Nothobranchius furzeri: one gene and its partners. The protein of the gene in region 1 interacts with the protein of each later gene in a biochemical or structural test. Links are inferred from orthologs where the notes say so. Each region holds a gene or a part of one and is shown in the gene's direction. Other genes may lie near its edges. The genes, in order: atm, abl1, chek1, rpa2, eukaryotic translation initiation factor 4E-binding protein 1, rbbp8 and atr.

Region 1 (3,500 bases):
TGGGCCATCCTGACTCTCGGAGACGACCCCGTGTCTTCTGCTCTTCCATCCCACCTGGCAGACGCCCACCACCGAGTCCGTATGCTGGTGGCCGTGTCGCTGGAGAGGTGGGTTCAGCCAGTTCTTTTTTATTGTTCTAGTTTTCTTACATTAACACTCGTGTACCCGTCCTCCTCTATATTCAGACTGTTTCTGGATATGAGACGGAAGGATAAGAAGACGATGCTGCCACTAAAACTCCAACAAGCAGCGTTTGAGAACATTTATCTGAAGGCTCAGGAGGGCATGAAGTTCCCGGTAGGGTCCAGCGGATCATGTTGCAACTTCCTGGTCCTTTTATACTCCCTGATGCATTCTGTCCGCGTGTGTCTGGTGCGGTTTTACAGAGAAGCAGCTCATCGGAGGACCAGCGGGATGAAACGTTCAACCGCGAAGCCGCCCTGCTGAAGAGTTTATCTGTTGTTCTGTGCTGTAGCCCAGTGTGTGAAAAACAGAGTCTGTTTGCGCTCTTCCAGTCCTATAAGGAGAACAACATTGAGGAAGAGCTCATCAAAAAGGTAGAAAGTCACGTTTTCACATAGAAATTGTCAGAATAGTCAATTAAAATCTTCACTTTTCCTTTTTCCTGATAAAATATTCAGGTATCAATGCCATGGAAGAGGTTAATTGTGTTTGTGCTTCTCTGATTTTTGCAGATGTTGAGCAGTGTGTCCAAAGTTCTGGGCTACAAGAGCGTAAAGGCATTCATCAGCTCTCACCTGTTCTACCTGGTGGCTGAGTGGCTCGCACAGAGACAGTCAGACGACCGCTACACTCTGGGATCGTTCCCCTACAGTCTGCTGGACCATCACTCGGTCAAAGATTTCTACAGGTCATTTATTATTCTAGCATTTTTGTTCAGTTTTTGTCTGATGGGACAGCAGCAGCTCAGGAGGTAGAGCGGGTTGTCCAGTAATCGGAAGGTTGCAGGTTAGATCCCGGCTCCGACCAGAGAATGCTGCTGTTGTGTCATTGGGCAAGACACTTAACCTGCCTTGTCTGCTGGTGGTGGTCGGAGGGACCGGTGGTGCCAGTGTTTGGCAGCATCGCCTCTGTCAGTGCGCCCCAGGGCAGCTGTGGCTACATCGTAGCTCATTCCCACCAGTGTGTGTGTGTGTGTGTGTGTGTGTGTGTGTGTGTGTGTGTGTGTGTGTGTGTGTGTGTGTGTGTGTGTGAATTGGTGAATGACTGATTGTGCTGTGAAGCGCCTTGGGGGGGGGGGGTTGGACAACCCTAAGAAATCACTATATAAATACAGACCATTTACAATTTATGTTTGAATTTTTCAGTCAGTATTATTATTAGCATTATTGTATTCATATTTATCCGTTATAATTTACAACATATATTCTGTATATGTATGTAGTTAAATTGTTCTCTTTTTATTAGTTAGTTATTTTTTTATTATTGGTTTTTATTATCTTATTTGTGTGTATACATCAGAATTTTATTTATTTATATGTTTTTATATCTTTTTATTTGTTGTTTTGATCTATTTTCATAAAATAAACATGTTTACAAATATGAAAAGATTTATAGTTGTTAACATATTTTGTTTATTTTAATATTTTGTTATTATTGTTTTTATTATTTGAATACATACATTTATGTTATATATTTATTTTTGTCGTAATGTTCTTCATATCTATAGACTACTTCTATTGTGTTTTATTTAACTTTTCATTTATTTATCAACAATCAAAGATGTCTACAAGTCATTTTGTACAATAGAATAGAATAGACAAGACTTTATTAATCCCACGGTGGGGAAGTTCACTCCTTACAGCAGCAAATACACTTAGAGAAAAGGAATAAGAACGATAATACACACATTTTCCTGTATTTCTGGTAAGAATGTTAGGAATACAAGAAGACCTGAAAACCCCTCTGTTCTGGATCCTTTTAGCTCCTCCTACCAGGTGCTGATCCCACACCTGGTCTTCCTGGACGACTTTGAGCAGGTGAAGTCCATCGGCAGGTGCCTGGAGAAGGACTGGAAGCTCTTACTGGCGGACTGCTTCCCTAAAATCATGGTCAACATCCTGCCGTACTTTGCGCTGCCGGGTCAGAACTCTGAAGTAGCGCAGCAGAGAGAGAAGGCCCACCGCGTGTACGACCTCCTGAAAGACAGCAGCTGTCTGGGCAAACAGGTAAAGGCCACCTGCAGCACACTCTGACCTCACAACTATTGGGTTTGTGTCGGAACTTCACATTCCGAGTTTGTGGACTGTGTGTGGCTCAAATAATAAGGAAAACTGTATAATTTGTGTCTTGAGGGATTCCTAATACTTGTTTTATTATAAGAGCTAATTATCCCAGCATGTGACTATTTCTCCTGGCAGGGGCGCAGATAGGATTTTCAAACTGGGGGGGGGGGGACAAAGTTCCAGTGTACCCTCCCCCACACACACACCCACACACACACACACACACGCACGTACACGTACACATACACAAACTATTGCAAGCGCCTTAACTAGAGCTCAGTCAGTTTGTGTAATGTCCTCCAACGGTTTACGTAAAACCTAACTTTTATATACGTGTTTGAAGCCATTGTGCAGTGGAACGCTGGCAACAAAGCTCTGCCTGATCAACACTATAAATGATAAATGATCTGCACTTGTGTAGCGCCTCTCAGAGTAAGGACTCCAAAGTGCTTTACACTACAGTGTATCATTCATCCATTCACACACACATTCACACACTGATGGTGGTGAGCTACGATGTAGCCACAGCTGCCCTGGGGCGCACTGACAGAGGCGCCCCACTATTTAATTCAGTCATTTGTTATTCTTCCAATCAAGTACTAACCAAAACCTCATGCTTTATGCAAAACATTAAATGATTTTCAGCATACCAATCTTTACAGAAAACATAAAAGCCCTATAAAACTGCACATAAAATATATTTAAAAAACGAAATTCACTTATCACTTAGAGCAGTAGTTCCCTAACTTTTCAGCCTGACCAACAGATGTTCCTTCGTATTTTTACGTTGTTTATAAATTTTCATTATATTTGGAAAGGTTTTATTTATATATAAATATGTAAATCTCTTTTAAAATTTTATGTTTTACTTTTTTATGATTATGTGGCACACTTGACTTCCACACATAACGCATTGGCATCTGCCCCTTTTTACGGCATTTCTTTCACATCATCGCTACATCTGTCACGTTTGCGGCGTTTTTACCATCATTTCTACATCCATCACGTCCATCAAACCCAACATTTGGAGCTTGTAAACTCCACACACCTCTCGTGCAGCACCAGCTGTCTGATGCTGCAGCAGCGTCAATCATCCCGGCTGGATGAGTGAATTTCTTCATCAGAGTCAGTAATCTGCTTCATAATCAGAGTCGGTCATTACCAGACAAAGTGATCAGTCAACTAAGACCAGACCTGCCGGCAATTATACGTTTTATCTCATATTTGCGCTCTTCATGTTGTGTGCATCTCCTC
Region 2 (3,552 bases), on another chromosome or scaffold:
TGGGTAATTTTTTACCAGACCTTCACAGTTTTTTTGCGTTGCTCCATTTTACTGGGCCGAGCCGAAAGGACTGCTTTCTAAGCCATTCAGTGGGAAATAATTCTATCGGTAGACGTCACCAAACAGCTGGTATTTAGAAATTGGAAGGGTTTCTGGTGAAGCAGAATGGAAGAAAAAGAAAATAAGCCGCGTTGGTACTGCTTTAAAGTTGCTGTTTCTAGAGTCCCAATGCCAACAAGTCTGGCAACAGTTCCTCCACAACGCACCACTTTCTGCTGCTGTATGGTCTTTAGTAAGAGCACAATAAAAACTAGTGTTTCTTCTGTTTATTGATTGCAGCTTTTCATGTCAAACAAGAGCTCTCTGCCATCCCTAAACCAGTCGTTCCCAACCTGCGGTCCATGACTCCCCAAGGGGTTCCCCACAATTTTGTATGTGCTGCAGTTATGAGATTACCAGGATTATAGTTGTAAAAACTACATTTATAAAATCCAGATAACACACCCAATAGAGGCACCACTCTGTATATATTTGTAATTATTCACTTTAATTGTGTGCATGCACGTAGGAGTAAGGGTTGGGGGGCCCTGGCTTGTCTTGGACACAGGAAAGGGTGTTCTCGTGAAAAAAGGTTAGGAACCATTGCCCTGAACGATGTGACCTACGTACTTTGACAAAATCAAACTCCTTTAATGTTATAAATGTCTGTGGACGCCTTTTGCATCTAATCAGTGACGTCCCTCACCGCCAAAGCAGTTGTGTTATACTGATGTAATAGCTAAGTCCTAAAAGGGCTGGGAGGACCAGACCGAGCCATCATATTTTCCCTCTCTCAGAAATTTTGTACAATTTTTATAGTGGAGTTGTGGCTATAGAAGTGGTTTCAAATGTTTCATTTTCAAATGTCACATAAATTTTAGTAGTTTTCATTATTTTATGTATTTTTTATTGGATAACTTTTTCCTGTTTTTCTCACCTGCGACGTGTCTGTGGTGTTCCTCAGACCCAGTGGATCCGGAGGTGGCTGTTTCCTCACCAATGCTTCATAGGAAAGAGCACTCCATGCTGGACAACAACTTGAATGAAGACGACCGCTTGATGCCCAGAGACAAGACACGTGTCAGTAATTTCCTCAGCCTCATCAAGAAAAAGAAAAAGAGTGCACCAACTCCACCTGTACGCAGCTCCTCCTTCAGAGACGACTTCCACACCGACAGGAGAGTTGTGACTCCTGATCCTCAAGACAATGACAATTTCAACAACGGTGCATCTTTGTCACTTAATGACACATCCCCTAGCACTGAATCTTCAAAGTTTTTGGTTGCTATCAATAATGGTGCAGGAGGTAATGCTAACTACCCAGGAACTTCGTACTCCAGAAAGAAGGCAGCTTCTACAGCACCTGGTCCTGGGAGCAAGATGGCCATGACACCACCTAGTGAAGAGGAGTCCGTTTCTAATTCAAACCGGTTCCTCTTGCCTTCCAACATGTCCAATGGTCGAGGTGGTACTGAGTGGAAATCAGTCACTTTGCCACGAGATCTGGGCCAGCGCCACTTTCAGTCAGGCACTCTTGGAGGTAAACCAGCTCTCCCGGTAAAGAGGACCAATGAGCAGAAAGGAGAGAACACCCGGCGAATGGGCACCCTGACTCCTCCACCACGTCTGAACACTTCCTCAGAGGCCTCTTCTTCTCTCCTTGGAAAAGACACAGAACCCTGTTCTGGTCCCAGTTTCCAGGCATTGACACCAAAGGTGGTAAAGAGACCCGGTGTGCCCGGGCAGGAGAACTCCAGGATCGGTGCTGAAGTGTTACTCACTTTAGGAGGAGTTGAAGAGTGCAAAGCCCGCAGAGGCAAGCACATGGTAGAGTCCTCGTCTGTCAGGGGAAGAGGGAAGTTCCAGAAACCCAAACCAGCCCCACCTCCACCTCCCACTGGTGCCAAAACCAGTAAGATCGCCCGTAGCCCCACTCAAGAACTCCCCTCACCTTCGTCTTCCCCTTCGTCTTCCCCCTCAGACATCAAAATCAAGTACCTTCCTTCCATTTCAGATTCCCACCACACAGTTGCTGCTAGTGACCAAGCACGCTCGCCCACCAGTGAGGGATCCAAAAAGGCGCCCCTGAGCTCTACCTATAAACCGCTCAAACCCTCCACTTCATTGACCCTTTCTCCCTCCAGCTTGAGCCAGGGAGGCTTCTCTCTCACCCCCAACACCGATCAGAACTCAACCGCATTTGCTCGACGCTCTCTCCGCAAGACAGCGCCCCGCCAATCCTCCGAGCGCACACCAAACTCAGCCGTGACGCGTGACATGTTGCTGGATGGGGCAGAGCAGCTTTTCCTCGCCATCTCCCGCATGGAGGATCAAACTGGGAGCCACAGCGCCGTGCTGGAGACCGGCAAGAACCTGTCGAAGTACTGCACGAGCTATGTTGACTCCATTCAACATATGAGGAACAAGTTTGCTTTTCGAGAGGCCAACAACAAGCTTGAGACCAGCTTGCGTGAGCTTCAAATCTGCCCCTCTGCCACGGGGGGCTCTAGTGCTCAGCAGGACTTCAAAAAGCTGCTGTCCTCGATTAAGGAGATCACGGACATAGTTCAGAGGTAGCACCTTAAACGTCCAATGATCGAGACTATATGAACTTAAATTCCATTACTCCTTCTGTGTTGTGGCCAGTGAGGGGTGTGATGCATTTGAGAACAGCGCTGTAGGTTCGTTACAGTTGACTATTAATCCTGTGGTTACAATGAACTGAGTCAGCTGAAAATGTATGTGGATCTTTTTAGACAGTTGTATCTTTGAATGCACATCACGTAGGCCTTAATGAGGCTGGGGCCAATTCTCCATGTCACCAATCATCTTCCAATTGATGTCTTATGTATTCTATTTGATTTAACCCCTCCCACAAATCAGTACGATCATGAAAATGTCTGCTTTCATTCGTTTTTGTTGAGCTTCGACAATTACTATAAACACTTAACCTCATCGATGCATTTTAAGTTGTATTTTCGTATTGGGTTGTATGCGGATGAGATTGTGCAAGTGTGTTTTTAAGAGTGTTGGCAACCACGTGCCATAAAGTAATGGGAGCATTGGCTTAAGGTAGTTTTGAGCCTCCAGCCTTCCTTCACTATGTTGCTTTCCTGCACACTTGGGTAACAAACGGTGCCTGTAACACTACCAGCAGGCCTGCTTCAGCCTTCACACGTTCAGGTGCAAATATAAAGCTTTGGCATGCTTGAGAGTGGCTTTTGGTTCACGGAACGTAAATGTTTGCAATTCCACTAGAGAAAAAAAACAGCACGCCTCTTGGCTGTACCGACTGGCACAGGTGCATGATCTGCAATTTGGTGATCTGTTGAACCCTTTTCTTAGACTGGATCTTATTTTTTAATATATGCAAATGTTTGACGATACAGATTTCTCTCAAATAAAAGCCATCGGTAGCATAGCGTTGGATCGGGGCAACAAGGTCAACAGGCTGTTTTCCTGATAGGGTTTTATCAAAAATAAAGGCCTACAGTATGTAAAGACCTTCCACCC
Region 3 (3,500 bases), on another chromosome or scaffold:
ACTTTGTTGATCCAAACACTGCTGATCTCTCAACATAAATGATGGGCAGATTAAACAGTTCATGCCGATGCTTCTCCCACACAACGGGTGTTTGGATCTAACTTCTGCGTTTATTGCTCGGACTGTATCGCAAGATCTCGAAAATCCCGCGCATGCTTGTTTGCCCCCCTCAGGTCTCCGCACCGGAGCGGAGCCGTTGTAGAGTGGGTACCAGTAAAATTGAGTTCGGAAACGAGCGGCTGCGGAAGGCGGGGGCGGACCGGAGCGGAGCGGAGGTAGTGGAATTTGGGGGTAAGGCTCTGGATGTTGTGAGGTTGTGTTGGTTGATGCAGCTCTGTAGTATCGCATGGGCATGGGGGACAGTTCCACTGGATTGGCAGTCTGAGGGGACCGCAGAGTGTGTTCCAACCGTGGAGCACTGGACCAGCCTTACCCCCAAATTCCACTACCTCCGCTCCGCCCCGGTCCGCCCCCGCCTTCCGCAGCCGCTCGCTTCCGAACTCAAATTATACTATACCCGCTCTACAACGGCTCCGCTCCGGTGCGGAGACCTGAGGTGGGCAAACGAGCATGCGCGGGATTTTCGAGATCTTGCGATACAGTCCGAGCAATAAACGCGGAAGTTAGATCCAAACACCCGTTGTGTGGGAGAAGAATCGAAATGAACTCTTTAATCTGCCCATCATTTATGTTGAGAGGTCAGCAGTGTTTAGATCAACAAAGTGTGACTATTTTGATAGTGGAAACTGTATTTATGGCTTACTTTTGTGCATTTAAAGTTCAGCCGCCATTGATAGTTGTTAAAGGTTGTTAAACTTGTGCATATGAAACAAAAAACGCCTTTTGTTTATCGATTTATTGTGAAAAACGGAAGTTGTGCTTGCTCCTTTTCCTGTTGGGCAGTTGTGATTCCTGTCCATTGACTGCGGAGGTGCTTCGGCGTCCGGCAAAAATAGGATCGATTCATGCTGGACGCCGGAACAGAGGGCGGTGCACTGCCGGAGCACGGCCGCAGTAGTGGAATTGCTCTGATTGACTACAACGGGACCGACTTTGCTCCGGAGTTCGTGCCGGAGCGGAGCGGAGGTAGTGGAATTTGGGGGTTAGGGGTATCCTGGAGGGTGTGTGGGAGTTTACCCATCCAATCTACATGTGTTTTGTGGATTTGGAGAAGGTGTTTAACTGCGTCCTGTGGGGGGGTACTCCAGGAGTATGGGGTACCAGGCTCTCTTATACAGGCTGTTAGGCCCTTGTATGACCGGTGCCAGAGTTTGGTCCGCATTGCCGGCAGTAAGCCGAGCTCATTTCCAGTGAGAGTTGGACTCCGCCAAGGCTGCCCTTTGTCACCGATTCTGTTCATAACCTTTATGGACAGGATTTCTAGGCACAGCCAAGGTGTTGAGGGGATCTGTTTTGGTGGCCTAAGGATTGAGTCTCTGCTTTTTGCAGATGATGTGGTCCTTTTTGCTTCATCAGACCATGATCTCCAGCTTTCACTGGAGCGTTTTGCAGCCGAGTGTGAAGCGGCTGGGTTGGGGCTCAGAGTAGACTCGCTGCTCCTCCACGTCGAAAGGAGTCAGATGAGGTGGCTCGGGCTTCTGGTCAGGATGCCTCCCTGGTGAGGTTTTCTGGCACATCCAACCGAAAGAAGACCTAAAGGAAGACCTAAGACACGCTGGAGGGACTACGTCTCTCGGCTGGCCAGGGAACGCCTTGAGATTCCCTGAAGGAGCTGGCCCTAGTAGCTGGGAAGAGGGAAGTCTGGGCTTCTTGGCTTACGCTGCTACCCTCGCGACCCAACTCTGGATAAGTGGAGTCTGGTCGTGGGGGCATTGAATTGATAGATAGATGGATAATAGTTAGTACTTTACCTTCAGAATTTAAACTTTGGTTTTGCACTAAAAGATAAATAGTTATTTAATTTACTTAAGAAAATTGTGTCATAATTATTTCTCTAAAAGAAAGATGTTTGCTTAATTATAGTTCACTGTTTGCACAAAGAAAAATAGTCATTTTGTTTTATGTACTAAATAAAAAAACATGCAAGTAATTTTTTCTATTAAAATTAACCCTTAAAGTATAGATACCCCCAAAAAGTGCCATTCAGATACTGGTACTGTTATCAGAAAAAATCCAAACCCAGCCCTGGGTATCACACATGTTCATTTCAATAAGCTGACAACAAGGACCATTGTGTTTGCTTTAATGCTAAATATGCCTCAGCAGCTACTAGCTGCATCACAGTGTGGTGTGGGAACAGCACCAGGGATCCTAAATGCCTGCAGGGCATAGTTAAGACTTTCAAAGATTACCCGGACTCCACAACCCTCTCTGCAGAGTGTGTACCACAACTTTCTGTACAGTCTACACTTAAGATAGCATTTTTTATGTTTATTTAATCTTATCTATTTTATTCCTGCTTAGTTTGGCAGTTTGGGTGACGAGGTAAGAGTTTCATGGTGGCTGTAACAACATTTTCTTTTGCACAGAATAAAGATTCTAATCCTTGGATCTCGAATCCTTAACAAGTCAACAGCTTTGTTTGTTTGCAGACGTGGAGACATTGGTAACTTTGTCTGGTCCAGTTTTGGATAACGTAATGTGTGCGTGTTATTTATTTAATTTCTACATTTTCATTATGTGTATCACAAACGGGTCCATGAGTCCATGTGTAATTTGAAGCTCGTCAGTTCTGTTGGTTAACTTATTTCCATCACTTTATTATTTAATGTAAAACTCCAGATGTCTTTCATTTTGGTTTTATGGTTTCTGCTTCTAAAACGAATGATCAAAAACCAGGAAGTACAAAGACTACTGGTTCAGACCCGTTCCTTTAGTACGTTCTTGTTGATTAACAGATCTCTGCCTCTCAGGTGACTGTGAGCATGCTGGACAAACGTAACAACAAGCTCATCTTCAAAGTCCATCTACTAGAAATGAGCCAGCGAGTGCTGCTGGACTTCAGGCTGTCTAAGGTTGTTCTCTCAGAACTGTGTGCTGTTCTGCCTTTGAGTTTTTCCTTGAAACTGACGTGTGTGTGTGTGTGTGTGTGTGTGTGTGTGTGTGTGTGTGTGTGTGTGTGTGTGTGTGTGTGTGTGTGTGTGTGTGTGTGTGTTTTCAGGGTGACGGTTTGGAGTTCAAGCGCGTCTTTGTGAGGATAAAACACAAGCTTGCTGACATCGTCAGCACTCAGAAGGTTTTAGTTCCATGAGACGTTTTTACAAACAGCCCGTCTAAAAGTGGACTTGTTGTTCTGCTGACGTGTCGAAGGTGAATCGTGGTTTTAGTTTTGTTATTAGGGAAGCTCAAAGTAGGATATTTATCAGAGCAGAGTTGTGGTTGACATGGTTTTACTCAACCTTCCGTTGTGACCCAAGTGTTTGCTTTTTCTTTGTTGTGTTACAATCCAAAGTTGAATAAATTATTAAAACACCCCTTTATGTTGGATTTCAGTGATTAAATGATGTCAGAAGCATAAACAGTTTTTATTGTTGTTCAAA
Region 4 (3,029 bases), on another chromosome or scaffold:
TTATTTTCCATAACCCGTCTCTAAGTTTCACAGAAAATTGCAAAAAAAAAAAATTTTTTTTAATGCAACATATTCTATAATTAAGATGTTTGCAGTTTCACATCACTGCTGTTTGGTCAAGTTGAAAAGTTCAAATTTGCTCATTTATATTCTTCCTTCTAAAACTGTTTCATAGTTTTGTTTCTACAAGAAATGGCAACTTTTCATCTTTATGCAGACATGGAAGCAGATTTTCTCCATACAGTAACTCCTCCTCATGTAGATTACCAGAACACGAGGAGATGGCGAGGTTTTTCTTTTTGTCACAAGTAGTTCAGAGATCTGCAGATTCAGATCACATGACCAGTTGGAGACTGGAAGGAACCCTAATTTAAAAAACTGAAATAAAAACTAGCGAGTCTGTAAAGAATGAACAGATGTTCTGAAATGTTAGTGAATAAAAAAGTTTTCAAGTCTGTATTTCATGCAGATTTTTTGCTGATATTGAAGAATTTTAGAGAAAATTTCAGCCTCGTTCTTTCAAACTGTTTAATTTCTGCTTTAAAGAAGACGAGTGAGATTATGTTAGATTCACTGAAGCGGACTATAAAAGGCTACTTTTATGTTTTCCATTAATTCATTTTATTAGTCTTTAAAACTATTGATAGATAGAAACATGCAGGAACCAGTTAGATCCAGTTTACAGGGTATCTGCAGGTCCTTAAAAAGTCTTAAATTTGCTTTTCCAAATTTAAGGCCTTAAAAATCCTTAAAAATGACAAATAATCCTTAAATAGTTTCCATAGGTCTTAAATTCCCGAAGACCCAATAAACGAGATTATTTTATTTCTATAAAATTTTCGTGAACTTCTAGTTAGTTCAGCATTTTTTGTGTATGATATTGGCGTAAGCGGAACCGTACACATTCGTTTGGTTGTGAAATGGGGCTATTTTTAGATGAGCACGCTAGTGGGAGTTTGCGCCATGGGGAAGTGCAACATTAATGGTAACTGTATGGCTAATCCCACGTTCACGACGTGGTTAGCACCGGTTCCAGGCAACAGCTGGAAATTATAGCCTAAATTTAATTTAAAAAATAGCTTAAATTTGGTCAAAGTGGCCTTAAAAAGTCTTAAATTTGACTCCCTTAAACCTGCAGATACCCTGAGTTTAGTAAACATGTTTCACTCTTTCGTTCGTCCGGGACACGGAGGACAGGAGAATAGACCGTGTGCACCAGTGTTGCCCTTATTGGACGCATTAATGGAGGACTTGGTGGTTATTTTTTAATTCATTCTGCTCAGCAGTAGGTTTGGTTTTCAGCATGAGTTACTAAGGTGATTTACCCAGACAGGAAGTGAACCACATTGAGTGTGAAAAACTTAAAGTTGCCTTTCCTGTGTTGTAGCACACAACCCCAAGTCTCCAAATATATAAGCATATGTAGCCTATATATATTTTTAATTTTTCTGTTTATAAAGTTTCAGCTACTAATTCTTAGTTTGTATTTTCTTATTAAAGACGCTTTATTTATTTATTTATTTTTCTTTTCTGGGTGCGTTTATGAAGGCAAGCATCACATTTGAGCTTTTCTCTTTCAGCCGTCTGCTGCTGGAGGGATGAGCAGCAACAGCTCCATGTCTCACCAAACCCCAGCAATCGTAGCAGAAAGCCGCTCGGCTGTTAACCACGTGGCCATTAATGGGCTAAGCGCAAATCAGAATCAGGTAAATAACTGTTAAGAGGTGTACTCTAAAATGTCTTCTTTTCACCCTCCTGGAAATATTAATTTTGTAAATGATGTCTGTTTTTTTTACATATTGAGGGCTTGTGTTGATGACGTGAATATTTTATTGTTTTTCTCAAGGTGCTGAGTTTAATCAGAGGCTGCCCAGACCCACAGGGCATCAGCGTGCACGATCTGAGGCACAGACTCAGCGGCATCAGTCTTCCTGTCATCAAGTAAGACACGCTCAGCTTTGGGTGCTGCACAATTCTTCACCATCATAAAATTCACTCTGCGGTTTTACGATGACTCCGTCTGAACAAGATCGTTCTTATGCCGTTCGTGTGAACTTTTTAGGTTCTGCTTTGTGATGCTTTATCAGTTTAAAAACATCTTGACAGTGTTATTTGTGCCGTTCCAGACAAGCCGTGGAGTTTCTGAGCAACGAAGGTCACATCTTCTCTACCATCGACGAGGACCACTACAAATCCACTGACAATGATGAGTAGTCGTCTTTGAGGATTTAAATAACTTATTAGTAAAAGTCCCCTGACTCAGAGATGAAACGATTAAAGTGTTAACAGACACACTCTGAATGTTTGACATTCAGGTACTAATGGGACTTTTGGTTCCCACATCCTGTATTATCTGAGGTCACTTCTTGTTCAAGTTTCTCACTTATGGCTCTGATAGCAATTATTCCTGTTTCTTTGTAAGTATCCCTTCTCCTGTTTTGTCATTTTAAAGATTTACAATAATTTTGTTTCACCCATCTTTGTAATTCAGCTTTTCTCATAATAAAAATTAAAAATTATACAAATCTACCTGGAAGTTACTTCTTTCCTACATATAAAAAAAGAACCACATGCACAACTACAAATATCAGTTTTTCAACTTATTTTAGCAAATTTATTTGATTTTAAATATGAGCATGCACAACATTAACTTAACATTTTGTGTCAAATTCACATCACAGAATGCACAAATATAAACAACCCGGGTTTGATAAAAATACATAAGTTTATTTGTCAAAACTAGAATGTTGCACTCCTGTAGATTGACGTGGTTGGAGATGAGCCTTTTTCGGGAGTGTCTGATTATTGCATATATACAGTTTGACATCAGCATAAATATACAGTTTGTTAGTAATATTGAGTTTAAATCAGAAATATTTGCCACTGTGTTAATGGGTGTGGCAGTTGCTGTGCATCGCCACTAACTGCTTAGTATTGCACGGCATAAATAAAAACTACATGGTCTTTAAAAAACTTTTGTCTACAAGGGCTGAAAACCAATAGTACAGCTGTGTCCAAAAGTTTTGAGA
Region 5 (4,160 bases), on another chromosome or scaffold:
TCTGGATGCTAGAAAAGAGTCCAAGTTGGTGCAAAGCAGAGCGTGTTGTGGTTACACCAGTGAGACGAGGAGCCCTGCAATGGACTGCTGAAACATGCACCAAGTTCATGCAAAAATGTTAACTCTTGCAAAAACTAGAGAACACATGTATATTCCTTTAGAATGGATTGAAGACATTATTAATAGCATATTACTCGATACTAAGGAATGCAACTGCGCACATGCACAAAAAGTTTTTAATATAAAAATGGCTATATATATGAAACATACAAATATATATATTTACTTAGAATGCTATGCACCCCTGTCAACTGGGATTCCTGTTATGTTATGGATGTCCTTTTTGCATCATACAGCTGTAGCTACTAAGAGACTTTTAAGTTTGGGTAATGCCTGCAACCTGGGGATAAATAGGGGTTTTGTGGGTGTTTTAACTTATTTTGTTTGCTTTTTTATTGTCATGGAGAGTCAAACATAAAATATACATGTGAAAACCTTTTAATCCAATCAAAATCTGAGGGCATCTGTTGACAATTTACTCTGTACACCAGCTCAACATTTACAAAAATTAATAAAGAAATGAAACATCTTTGCGTATTGCGTGTAATTTTTTTCATGTCTTTAAATGACGTTTCTTGACTTTGAAGTGTGTTTTTTCCTGACTGACACAGTGAGTAGATCTTCGCTCGTTTAACCATCCTGCCAGGAGATGCATCAAGCTTTGGGGGAAGTCTGTTATAGACGTGCTGCAAAAAAGAAACATGAATTCAAAGAAATTCATGAAATCTGAATCTGATTTAAAAGCTTCTCTTTGTGTTATTAAAACTTGTGAAGTTATAGATCTAACATCTCAGAGCTAGGAATGTGGTCAGAATAAATAAAACAATTATGTAAGGGCTTTTAAAAGCAAATTGTATTGAAAATACATTAAAATGCCGAAGAAACACACACACACACACACACCTGAATAAATTCAATAATTATATTTGAGCAGAAGATGACAGCAGGATTTACTTACTGATTTTGCTCCTTTTAAATAAATCATCTGTCAACTTGACATGATTTAAAATCATTTCGGAGGCGGACTAGAATAAGGCAATCTTCTTGTTGAAAGCATAATAACGCAATATAACGTTCCTTAAAAGGTGAAAATCTGGAACAGTGTCTGCAGATTTTGTATTTAAGAAAATTTTCAAATAGAATGAGGTGAAAATAAATACATAGTTTTTTAAAAATAATAATAATAATTATTATTATTATTTTAATCTCTGTAGCCTAGTATGCACCAGTAGATGGCGGAATAAATTCGTTTAGTTTGCACCGAACAGCGTTCTCCCTACAGGGCTGCAGCAGCCTGTCTGTATGCCTTGATGGTCTGCCTGCGTATGTCTGTGTGTTGTTTTGTGTGCATGTGGAAACAGAGAAACGGGTGCTGCTGAGGTCCTTTTTCACCAAACATCCTCGACCCGTTTTGAGTGAGAGCGCGTGTGTTAATGTGGCTAACTTTAATCGCCATAGTTTGCACTCATGAAATCTAGATATTTATTTTTATTCATCAGAAGGCGACCGTTCTGCTGCTGAGCCAAATCTAACACTCCTCTGGCTTTGTTCTGTCAAACCCAGACGTTCTTCTTGTTTCATGTCATCCAGTTAGTTACTTTTAATTTTTTAGTTGAGAGAAGATGTCCACAGACTTTCAGAAGACAAATGCCAAGGCCATCCCGTCCACCAGGACAGTGGCCGTCAACGAAGCGGACCACATGCCACACGACTACTCCACTACTCCCGGGGGGACCCTTTTTAGCACCACACCGGGCGGTACGTTGTGTGTTTTTAACTCCACATTAACGTTTGTGTGCTTGGTCAAAAGGTCAGTGGCACGAGACCTGAATCCATTTAACAGCAGCGTTGTTGCGTGTGTTCATGCTAACTCCATGAGGTCGGCTTGGCTGCTGTCATCTGATAGCTAGCTATACTGAAGCTAACCGCTAACGCTAACTAGCGATCATTGAAAAAACAGAATAGTGAAAAACTAAAAAGTGGCTTTGAGGCATATGACCAATGTCGTTTTGTAAATGTAATTTTGCAACACAATAACTAATTTTCAATTAAGTGAAAATCGTTTTTAGGGTTTTACTTTGACTTCTGTACATCTTGTCACTGGGATCTGAGTCACGTGATCAAATCGGTGCTCTTGAGTTTATTGGCGGTGACCTAACCAGTTTAAAAGCCCATTACGACCACCTACTGGACTGGAATTTGGGATCAGATGCAGCAAAAGAAAAAAATCCAGTGGTGGGCCTAGAAAAACATGTACGGGGTGGCAGAAGGGGGCAAAATTTTGAGGATGGTAAAATGGAGCATAAATTACTATACTCTTTGGGCACACAAAAGCTTTTGAACTAAACTATCCATTAAAAATGTGTCTGTGAATTCCTATGCACTGAGCTGTACCAAGGTCAGCATAGATGCACTATATGGAAAGAAATAATAATAACAATAATGGATTGGATTTATACAGTGCTTTTCTTGGAACTCAAAGCGCATTCCATTAAAGTCCCATTAGTCATCATCACACGCTGGTGAAATGACATCTCCGTATTTGACCCATCCTCATGGGGAACGGTGAGCTGTAGCAGTGGCTGCACTCGGGAACTATTTGGTGGTTAAAGATGAGTGTCTAGCAGGGAGGCATTGGGTCCCATTTTTAACTCATTCACTGCCAATAGTCGTCATTGGAATTTTTTTACTGTGTGGGCATTGGAACGAGTCCCCGCGCCGAGAAGCAAACGTCTCAGCTCTGAAGCTGATCTTCATCCGCATACGTCACAGGTCACATGACCAGGAAGCAGAAAATCCATGTGTTAGGAGATCGGTTTGGGTTGTTCCTTTAAAAAAAAAAACATGAGGCGCGAACCGGAAAAGCGTCTGCCGATCACAATTCGACAACGAATTATGAAAGAATGGATAACGCTTGAAACACGCGGATTCTTCCTGATCTAAGAGGTGAGTCTCCTCTTTGTTTTGGTTGTTTTGGCGTCGACATCATCCTAGCGCGCAACGTTCTGTGACTCTTAAAAAACAGTAAAAATGGCGAGAAATGCTGGCAGTGAAGGTCTTCAGCGATCAGGAAATGGCTGGCAGTGAATGAGTTAAAGTCTTTGGGATAACCCGATGAACCACGATCTCCCAGTTCCAGTGCGGACACTCTTACCACTAGGCCACTCAGAAGGTTATATTGTTCACACTCTCACGTTCACACTGCCGGGGATGGTAAGCTACGATGTAGCCACAGCCACTCTGGAGTGGGCTGGCATTTTGTGCCACCACCAACACAATGTTTCACTGCAACAAGGTACTAAACTTTAGTTTTATTATTCACTCAAACACATTTCTTTCCCTGTTAATTCATCAGTATTTACATAACCATATATGTTTTTTTTATTTCAGGTCATTATTTTATCAGCTTGTGTCATGATCGGTGTAATCGGACATGCTACTTTCACATTCATAATGTCTGATTTGCCACAACTATTTCATGAATTATTGCTGCCTTCTTCTGAGGTGGCAAAACTTTCCTTTAGGGAGGCAGTTGCCACCCCAGTAGATCAGCCCCTGAATAAATCCAACAAAACTAGATTTTTTTTTAAATCTGACAGATTGTTTATTTTAAGAGTTTAATGAGGTCAGAGCTGTTACTGCTTTGCCAAAGAGGCTTCATTGTTTAACTGACATTGTGATTAAAACTAGGGATGCACCGATACCTCTTTTTTCCAAACCGATACGATACCGATACTTGGATCTGGGTACTTGCCGCTGCCGATTACTGATACCGATACTTCCACCACACAAAAAAATGCAATGATATGGAATACAGATTTTATTTTCTTCTCTGCTTTCAACAGGAAAAGACTGTGAGGTAAATAAAAAGTAAAATATATGAATGGAAATCATCACAAAACTAAAATATTAGGTGAACAGAAATGACAAGTTACAGTGAAGCCATTTTCAAGCAACTGCATTGGTATCGGTTCCTGGTATCGGTTAACTTTCACTGATACCGATACTGGTATCGGTACCGATGCCAGTATCGGTATCGGTGCATCCCTAATTAAAACAGACCTGTTATTTATTTATTTCAGATTTACGTTAATAACACA
Region 6 (2,928 bases), on another chromosome or scaffold:
AAAACAAAAAAGCTGCTAGAGATGGAAGGAATCCCAGGAAAACAGAAGTGCTGGTGCCCAACACTTGTGAACTGGATGCACCCCAGACATCCAGTAAGATGTCTTTTCTAATACAAGTTAATCAAAACAAGAATAATCTTTTTTTTTTTTTTACATTTAATATAACTTTATTTATATTCCTTTAGATCAGAAACAATCTATTTATGTCCACTTCTCCTGGTTTAGTTCTATTATCAGACAGAAGTTGACCTGTCTGGTGTCTGTCTCTTTCCAGATGATGTGAATGAAGGTGTGCTGGAAGCTATCCCAGATACCTGTGGCTTTGAACTTGCTAACAATCTCATTGTAAGTAAAATAGTTTAGGAACCAATCACTGATACATAATCGTACAATAATGACATTTTTATGTTTAAAACATTTTGCTCCCAGGTAAAGGAGACGGCTCCAGATCATCAACGTGCCTCTAGAAGTTCCTGGAAGCACAATGCTCATTTAAAGTAAGACCAACTGCAGCCGGCCTGCATTTATCTGACTATGCGCTAAAAAACTCCTCCCTGCTGGTTTGTTTCTCCTGTTTAAGGCCCTACGAGCGCTCCTCTGTGTCCACACTGACCCACAGTCCAGACTCCACCACGGAGAGGTCCCTGTCTGTCCTCCCTCCTGTCAAACGCTTTTTAGAAGAAGGCTCGGTCTGCAGCTCAAAACACAAAAAGGACGAAAGTGTTTCACAGAGACTCTGCGAAGCAGGAATCCAGGGAGGGGGCAAACATGAGCATCCCAGAGACGTCAACCAAACAGCGACTTCTGTTTGTGAGCCACCAGTTAATAAGGCATGACCAAACAGGGAGCTCATCTGTTAAGCCATGATTTAAAGCAGGTTTTTATAAGTGTTTTATTTTCCAGGGCCAGTCAGCAGAACACATTGGGACCAGTCAGAAAGCTAGAGCTCCTGGTTTCAGTTCTGATTTCAAGAAGCCGCCGAGTAAATCTAAGTCAGAAACCGATGGGAAGAAAAAAACGCCTCTGCAGGATCAGGATGCTTCACACAAACAACCAAAAGATGGTGAAATCCTATCATTTACGGTCCTTATCTCATCCTGTTGGATTTCAAACTCTTCACTCCTTAAACTCGACTTGTCTGGGTTCTCAGTCGACGAGCAGCTCACAGTGGAGCCGGCGTGGAGCATCGATCCTGCACTGGCTCTGTCCGTGTACAACAGCGAGCAGAGGAGAGACGAGGTGCAGCCTCTGGGTCGTTTGGCTTTTTTTATGTGTAGATGTTTGGGTTGTTTTATTGGCTTAAAAGCTTTTGTGTTTTAGGAAATAGAAGAACAGCGGCATCACAGAGACCTGGCAGACACGGACTGCACTTGGGTCAGCCACAGCATGCTGCAGCGGCGAGGAGGAGACGGTCCGAGCAGAGGAGACACGAAGTCTGGTGAAAATAACCGTCAAGTCTTTAAATAACCACAGTCAGGTGTTGGATTATAATCCGTTAACACAAGATGGTGGTCTGGTCTGTTCGCTTCTCAGGACTCGGCCAGAAGGCAAACGACAGTTTGGATATGATGTTTGACACAACAGCTTATGGGGAGTATAAGTCCCAGTTAGACCGGAGCAGGCCTGATGAAGAGGATGAAGGGCAAGATGAAGAGGAGGAACCGCATGGTAGAGATTGATTTTGAACACCTACATTATTTCACTGATATTCTGAGTTTGACCTTCATCTCCTGATTGGTTTCCTTTCATTTAGACGAAGATCCTCGATCCAGATCTGGGTAAGGACCATCACTCTGCACCTCGTTTATCCGATCGTCACCCGTCTCACGGTTTTCTCTGCTTTAGACGGCCAACATTTAAACACGTGGCAGTAATCCGCAAGAAGGACGAGAGAAGAAAACTGAAGGGCACCACCTGTAAAGAATGTGACGTTGTGAGTGTGTAGAGCCTGAAGCCGGTGCGTGTTTATTCCTGGGTGCTGTTGACACGGTTGTGGCTTCCTTTTAGTACTACGCTCATCTGCCAGAGGAGGAGAAACAGAAAAAGCTGTCTGCCTGCTCCAGACACCGATATCTGCACATTCCTCCGTGTACTCCTGAAAACTTCTGGGAAGTGGGATTTCCATCGACACAGACGTGTGTGGAGCGAGGTAATGGAACGCTTCTTGTTTCGTCTAATGGTGGTTTTACTAGAGCTTTATAATATTCTGTGTTACAGGTTACATCAAGGAAGAGACGAACCCCCAGGCTCGTTCACGGAGACGACAACCGTTTAATGTTTTATTCTCTCCAAAGCAACGGCAGCAGCAGACCTGAAACATCCCTCACCGATTAGTTCTAATTATTCCCTTAAATCTCTATAAAACCCTGAACTCTTGCAGAGTTCAAACATTGACACTGTCTAATAAAAATAACTTATAAAAACCTGATGCTGACCAAGAACCTGTCTTCATCATCTCCTAGGTTTTATATACAGGGTATCCGCGGGTCCTTAAAAAGTCTTAAACTTGCTTTTCCAAATTTAAGGCCTTAAAAATCCTTAAAAATGACAAATAATCCTTAAATAGTTTCCGAAGGTCTAAAATTACCCAAGACCCAATAAACAAGATTCTTTTATTTCTATAAAAATTTCGTGAATTTCTAGTTAGTGTTCAGCATTTTTGTGCACGATGTTGGCGTAAGCGGAACCGTACACATTCAGTTGGCTGGGAAAGGGGGCTCTTTTTAGATGAGCACATTAGCTGATTAAGCTAGCGGGAACTTGCGCCATGGGGAATTGCAAGTTTAATGGTAGCTGGATGGCTAATCCCACGTTCGTGACGTGGTTGGCACCGGTTCCAGGCAATAGCTGGAAATTATAGCTTAAATGTAATTTTAAAAAATTGCTTAAATTTGGTCAAAGTGGCCTTAAAAAGTCTTAAATTTGGCT
Region 7 (3,500 bases), on another chromosome or scaffold:
TGTTTATATGTCCGTAGTGAGCTGGCCATGCAGGTTCAGGGTGAGGTTTGGTCCGTGTTGAACGCTCGTCTTGAGGAATTGCTCACACTTTTGGACTCTGCTGAAGCTCAGAGCACACAGGTGCTGTTTGCACTGCAGGGTCTAACTCTCATCCTCCGCCTGGCAGCCTGCTGCTCCTCTCCCATCAGGTAATACACTTATGTCTCTTAAATACTGATACCAGTCTTGCTGATGATGATTTTTTGCAAAGATCAATGTCAGATTGTGATCTCTTTCCCTACAGTTCACTCCGTTTGGCCTGGCTGTCCCCAGGGACTCTGGGCAGGATGTTGAAGAGCTGCCAGTCTGTGTTAGAAGGAGCCTCTCCACCTGTGTCTGATCAGGACTATTTTCATGCTGCTTTCCGGGCAACTGTCAGCATCCTTGACTCTGTTCTCTTCTTAACATGTAAGGACGCAAACAGAAGCAGCTCTGGAGGTCTAAATTCGGGTTGCTATTTCCATCGTTTTCGTGTTTACTGTAAAATTTCTGACACCAATCAAGTCAAGAATTAATGTAATCACAACAGCATGGTGGTGATCATGTTTTTATACTTGTGCAGTGAGCAGCCAGGTGGAGGATGAGCTCCAGCGGCATGTGTGTGCTCTGCTGTCTCTTCCATGGGTGTGTGAGAACAAGTCTTCATCCGTCTTTAAGAGTTCAAGATTTCCCTCCTGGCTCCCCACCTTGGCTCAGAGACTCAGCTTCTGTTACGGTGAGGAATCGTGACAAGTCTTGCTTTACATTCTGGTGATAAATACTAATTTATTACCATTTTTTCCTTCAGAAACATATTGCGTAGCTGAGTGAGTTTCAAATTGATTTAACATCAAACTCTGTGACTTTTCAGCACCTGAAGTCCAGGCAGATTGTGTGTCACTGCTGGCCTTTCTGCACCACGGTGTGTGTGATAAGTGGCGTGTGTGTGTCTTCAGCAACATGCTGCAGAGTCAGAATGAGGCACCGAGAGCTGCAGCTGTCAAGGTCTTCCCGGTTCTCCTTCACCACCTGGGAGACTCCCAGGATGACCTGATTAACACGACGCTGCTGTGTGTAAAACCTCTCTGCAGGCATTCATGAGCTTGTAGTGTTTTTGTCATTTTTGCTTATTGCTGCTGTCTTGTTTTGTGTTGCATCTTGGGTGTTTCAGGCCCATGCTGGAAGACACATCAGAGCAGGTGAAGATGGAGCTCGCCAGGATTGTTGGTCAGCTCAGCTGCATCTCCTCAGGACTCTCCGAGCTTTGTGACATCCGCGTGGAGTCCCCGTGTCCTCCTAAAATACTCTGTCTCTGCTGCAGCCTTGCAGCAGAGCATGCTGGGAAAGAAAAAGCATCTCTCAAGGCTTCTATCATTAGACCTTTTCTCCCTTTACTCAGACCACAATGTCCAAGTCGTGTTAAACAAGGTGCTTTGAGTTCTTCTTCAGTTTAGTTGATTTGTGTCATTGTCATTAGGAAGCCTTTGCCTCACTGCTTCCTTTGCTTCACCAGCGTTTCTGGAAGCTCTGCCTCATCTCTGCCAACATGTGAACCTGACTGGTGGAGACGGTGATTCCCGAGCAGTTCTCTGTGCCCTGATTGGCCTCATGGAGGATTCGGATCCTGCAGTTAGAACACGCTTCGGCCAATCTGTGCGCTTTCTGTTGACAGAGACCAACAAAAACTCAGAGCATGGCGTTTTGAATGAGGTACGACATTTTCTAATAGAAAAAAACTGTTGATGGTTGGTTTGGTTTGAGTATTTTGGGGATAATGGCGTTTTTAATCATATATTATTGTTTTTTGCTCATTCAGCTTCTGGTTGCACGTCTTAAGGAGGCGTTCAACAACGCTAAAGTCAACAGAGATGATGATCTACGAAACACTCTCATCCTCACCACCGGAGAGATTGGCAGGTATAAATGCACTTTTCTCTTGTTTCATTTAATCTTTGAGTAACATAGAAGCAATTCAAATTTGCTGATATTCTTAATGAATTTAGTTTTCAGCAGAAAGAGAAATGATGTTCTCGTGTATCCATCGTCCCTCTCTGTCCTCTCTTGTTAGAGCCTCTCAGGGTAGTTTGGTGTCCTTTTGTCTGCTACGTCTCCTCCACTGTCTTCTGTCCAAGTCGTCCTCAGTGTCTGTGGCTGCGTACACTCAGATCAGTGCGCTGGCTGCTGCCAAAGGTCTGAAACTGCAGACGCTTTTCAGTCAATACAAGAACCCCATCTGCCAGGTACATATTTGACAAAAAAGGCCTGTAAACACGTTAGGGTTGTCACGGTGTGAAAATGTAACCTCACGGTTATTGTGACCAAAATTATCACGGTTTTCGGTATTATCGCGGTATTTTTTTTAAACGTGCTACATTTTCACACAATTAAATAAACCCTGTACGTCAGGAAAATATTGTCCTCAGTTTGTGTCTAAAATTTGCCTAAAATGTGTTATTTTGTAATTATGTTGTTTATTTGTTTACATTTTTCCCCTTTAGTCTTTAAAATACCAAGATTTGCCCATAACTTCTTATTTTTTGTCTGTTTGATGTCATCATTTTAAAATATTAGATCAGATGATACTCAGTACTCAAGTAGCCTTCTAATCAGATACTTTTTTACCCTTACTTGAGTAATAAACCCTATATCAGGAATATATTGTCCTCGGTTTGTGTCCTTCCAGTGAGCTTTGCAGATGTGGGAAAATGTCATCAGGCAGTAATCATTGTTAAATTCATAATTATTCTCTGAGAGAGACCAACTCTTATCTGCCCCTGGGAGCCCCGTAATGCATAGCGTCATTTCAACATGGGGGTGTCTGTGACACGGTTTATAAGGCAGGTAGCGGCGGTGCGGCTGCTTTATATAGCGACTCGTTGCTTTCTCCCTCAACCCAAATCCTCGGATCACGCATTTTAGCTAAAACGCTAACGTTAGCTTGCCTTGCGTTGACTGTAGAGTTGTGGGTGATGGTCACGCAGATGTGTCATGAGATTTGAAGCGTTGCTGCCTTTCACAGACACTTTTTCTGCACCTGCTGCAAACAGGATATCAACTATCAACTGTCCCTCGGCGTTCTTCAAATATCCAAAATATGCCCGTACTTCCCACTTTGTCTTCTTTGAGGGATAATAAATGTCCTCCTGAGCGCTGCCGTCTCCTCCTTTGGCCATTATTTCAGTTTTAGCTTCAAGAAAGTTTTGGTTGTAAACAACAAAGCGCGCATGTGCCGCCGGCAACTTCAGCAGATGATACGGTGGCTGGTAAGGGTCACCACACCTACACCGCAGCCACGGTAATCCACCGAGATAATATAGTTTTTTTAAAAACAAGACGGTTATTATTATTGTCAACTTTTATACTGGGGTTTACCACTACACCGGTTACCATGACAACCCTAAAACACGTACTTATTCTTTTTTATTCTAAGATAGATATTAATTTAGATATTTATCATACAGTGATTTTACCATCAGCTGACT

What was found.
Region 2: of the proteins of atm (region 1) and abl1, one has a biochemical effect on the other in vitro, tested with the Homo sapiens proteins (3 studies listed by BioGRID and IntAct, with this or other methods). The link is inferred for Nothobranchius furzeri from reciprocal best matches to the Homo sapiens genes ATM and ABL1.
Region 3: of the proteins of atm (region 1) and chek1, one has a biochemical effect on the other in vitro, tested with the Homo sapiens proteins (2 studies listed by BioGRID, with this or other methods). The link is inferred for Nothobranchius furzeri from reciprocal best matches to the Homo sapiens genes ATM and CHEK1.
Region 4: of the proteins of atm (region 1) and rpa2, one has a biochemical effect on the other in vitro, tested with the Homo sapiens proteins (3 studies listed by BioGRID). The link is inferred for Nothobranchius furzeri from reciprocal best matches to the Homo sapiens genes ATM and RPA2.
Region 5: of the proteins of atm (region 1) and eukaryotic translation initiation factor 4E-binding protein 1, one has a biochemical effect on the other in vitro, tested with the Homo sapiens proteins (2 studies listed by BioGRID, with this or other methods). The link is inferred for Nothobranchius furzeri from reciprocal best matches to the Homo sapiens genes ATM and EIF4EBP1.
Region 6: of the proteins of atm (region 1) and rbbp8, one has a biochemical effect on the other in vitro, tested with the Homo sapiens proteins (4 studies listed by BioGRID, with this or other methods). The link is inferred for Nothobranchius furzeri from reciprocal best matches to the Homo sapiens genes ATM and RBBP8.
Region 7: of the proteins of atm (region 1) and atr, one has a biochemical effect on the other in vitro, tested with the Homo sapiens proteins (2 studies listed by BioGRID, with this or other methods). The link is inferred for Nothobranchius furzeri from reciprocal best matches to the Homo sapiens genes ATM and ATR.

What each region holds. Positions count from the first base shown.
Region 1 is NC_091753.1:29,145,777-29,149,276, reverse strand, and holds part of atm (serine-protein kinase ATM), read left to right. Parts: coding exon 1-107; intron 108-185; coding exon 186-297; intron 298-386; coding exon 387-557; intron 558-695; coding exon 696-871; intron 872-1,945; coding exon 1,946-2,189; intron 2,190-3,500.
Region 2 is NC_091746.1:53,706,454-53,710,005, forward strand, and holds the end of abl1 (tyrosine-protein kinase ABL1), read left to right. Parts: intron 1-1,003; coding exon 1,004-2,616; 3' UTR 2,617-3,052; downstream 3,053-3,552. UniProt on the Homo sapiens protein: Non-receptor tyrosine-protein kinase that plays a role in many key processes linked to cell growth and survival such as cytoskeleton remodeling in response to extracellular stimuli, cell motility and adhesion, receptor endocytosis, autophagy, DNA damage response and apoptosis.
Region 3 is NC_091750.1:44,924,781-44,928,280, reverse strand, and holds the end of chek1 (serine/threonine-protein kinase Chk1), read left to right. Parts: intron 1-2,873; coding exon 2,874-2,975; intron 2,976-3,121; coding exon 3,122-3,211; 3' UTR 3,212-3,440; downstream 3,441-3,500. UniProt on the Homo sapiens protein: Serine/threonine-protein kinase which is required for checkpoint-mediated cell cycle arrest and activation of DNA repair in response to the presence of DNA damage or unreplicated DNA.
Region 4 is NC_091745.1:71,988,068-71,991,096, forward strand, and holds the end of rpa2 (replication protein A 32 kDa subunit), read left to right. Parts: intron 1-1,580; coding exon 1,581-1,706; intron 1,707-1,846; coding exon 1,847-1,941; intron 1,942-2,126; coding exon 2,127-2,214; 3' UTR 2,215-2,529; downstream 2,530-3,029. UniProt on the Homo sapiens protein: As part of the heterotrimeric replication protein A complex (RPA/RP-A), binds and stabilizes single-stranded DNA intermediates that form during DNA replication or upon DNA stress.
Region 5 is NC_091757.1:46,259,649-46,263,808, reverse strand, and holds the start of eukaryotic translation initiation factor 4E-binding protein 1, read left to right. Parts: upstream 1-1,360; 5' UTR 1,361-1,682; coding exon 1,683-1,818; intron 1,819-4,160. UniProt on the Homo sapiens protein: Repressor of translation initiation that regulates EIF4E activity by preventing its assembly into the eIF4F complex: hypophosphorylated form competes with EIF4G1/EIF4G3 and strongly binds to EIF4E, leading to repress translation.
Region 6 is NC_091747.1:41,223,983-41,226,910, reverse strand, and holds the end of rbbp8 (DNA endonuclease RBBP8), read left to right. Parts: coding exon 1-93; intron 94-274; coding exon 275-345; intron 346-429; coding exon 430-497; intron 498-580; coding exon 581-830; intron 831-903; coding exon 904-1,063; intron 1,064-1,150; coding exon 1,151-1,239; intron 1,240-1,320; coding exon 1,321-1,438; intron 1,439-1,533; coding exon 1,534-1,668; intron 1,669-1,753; coding exon 1,754-1,778; intron 1,779-1,845; coding exon 1,846-1,933; intron 1,934-2,007; coding exon 2,008-2,149; intron 2,150-2,217; coding exon 2,218-2,315; 3' UTR 2,316-2,428; downstream 2,429-2,928. UniProt on the Homo sapiens protein: Endonuclease that cooperates with the MRE11-RAD50-NBN (MRN) complex in DNA-end resection, the first step of double-strand break (DSB) repair through the homologous recombination (HR) pathway.
Region 7 is NC_091758.1:22,156,164-22,159,663, forward strand, and holds part of atr (serine/threonine-protein kinase ATR), read left to right. Parts: intron 1-17; coding exon 18-188; intron 189-283; coding exon 284-447; intron 448-601; coding exon 602-754; intron 755-889; coding exon 890-1,088; intron 1,089-1,189; coding exon 1,190-1,446; intron 1,447-1,531; coding exon 1,532-1,728; intron 1,729-1,834; coding exon 1,835-1,935; intron 1,936-2,086; coding exon 2,087-2,258; intron 2,259-3,500. UniProt on the Homo sapiens protein: Serine/threonine protein kinase which activates checkpoint signaling upon genotoxic stresses such as ionizing radiation (IR), ultraviolet light (UV), or DNA replication stalling, thereby acting as a DNA damage sensor.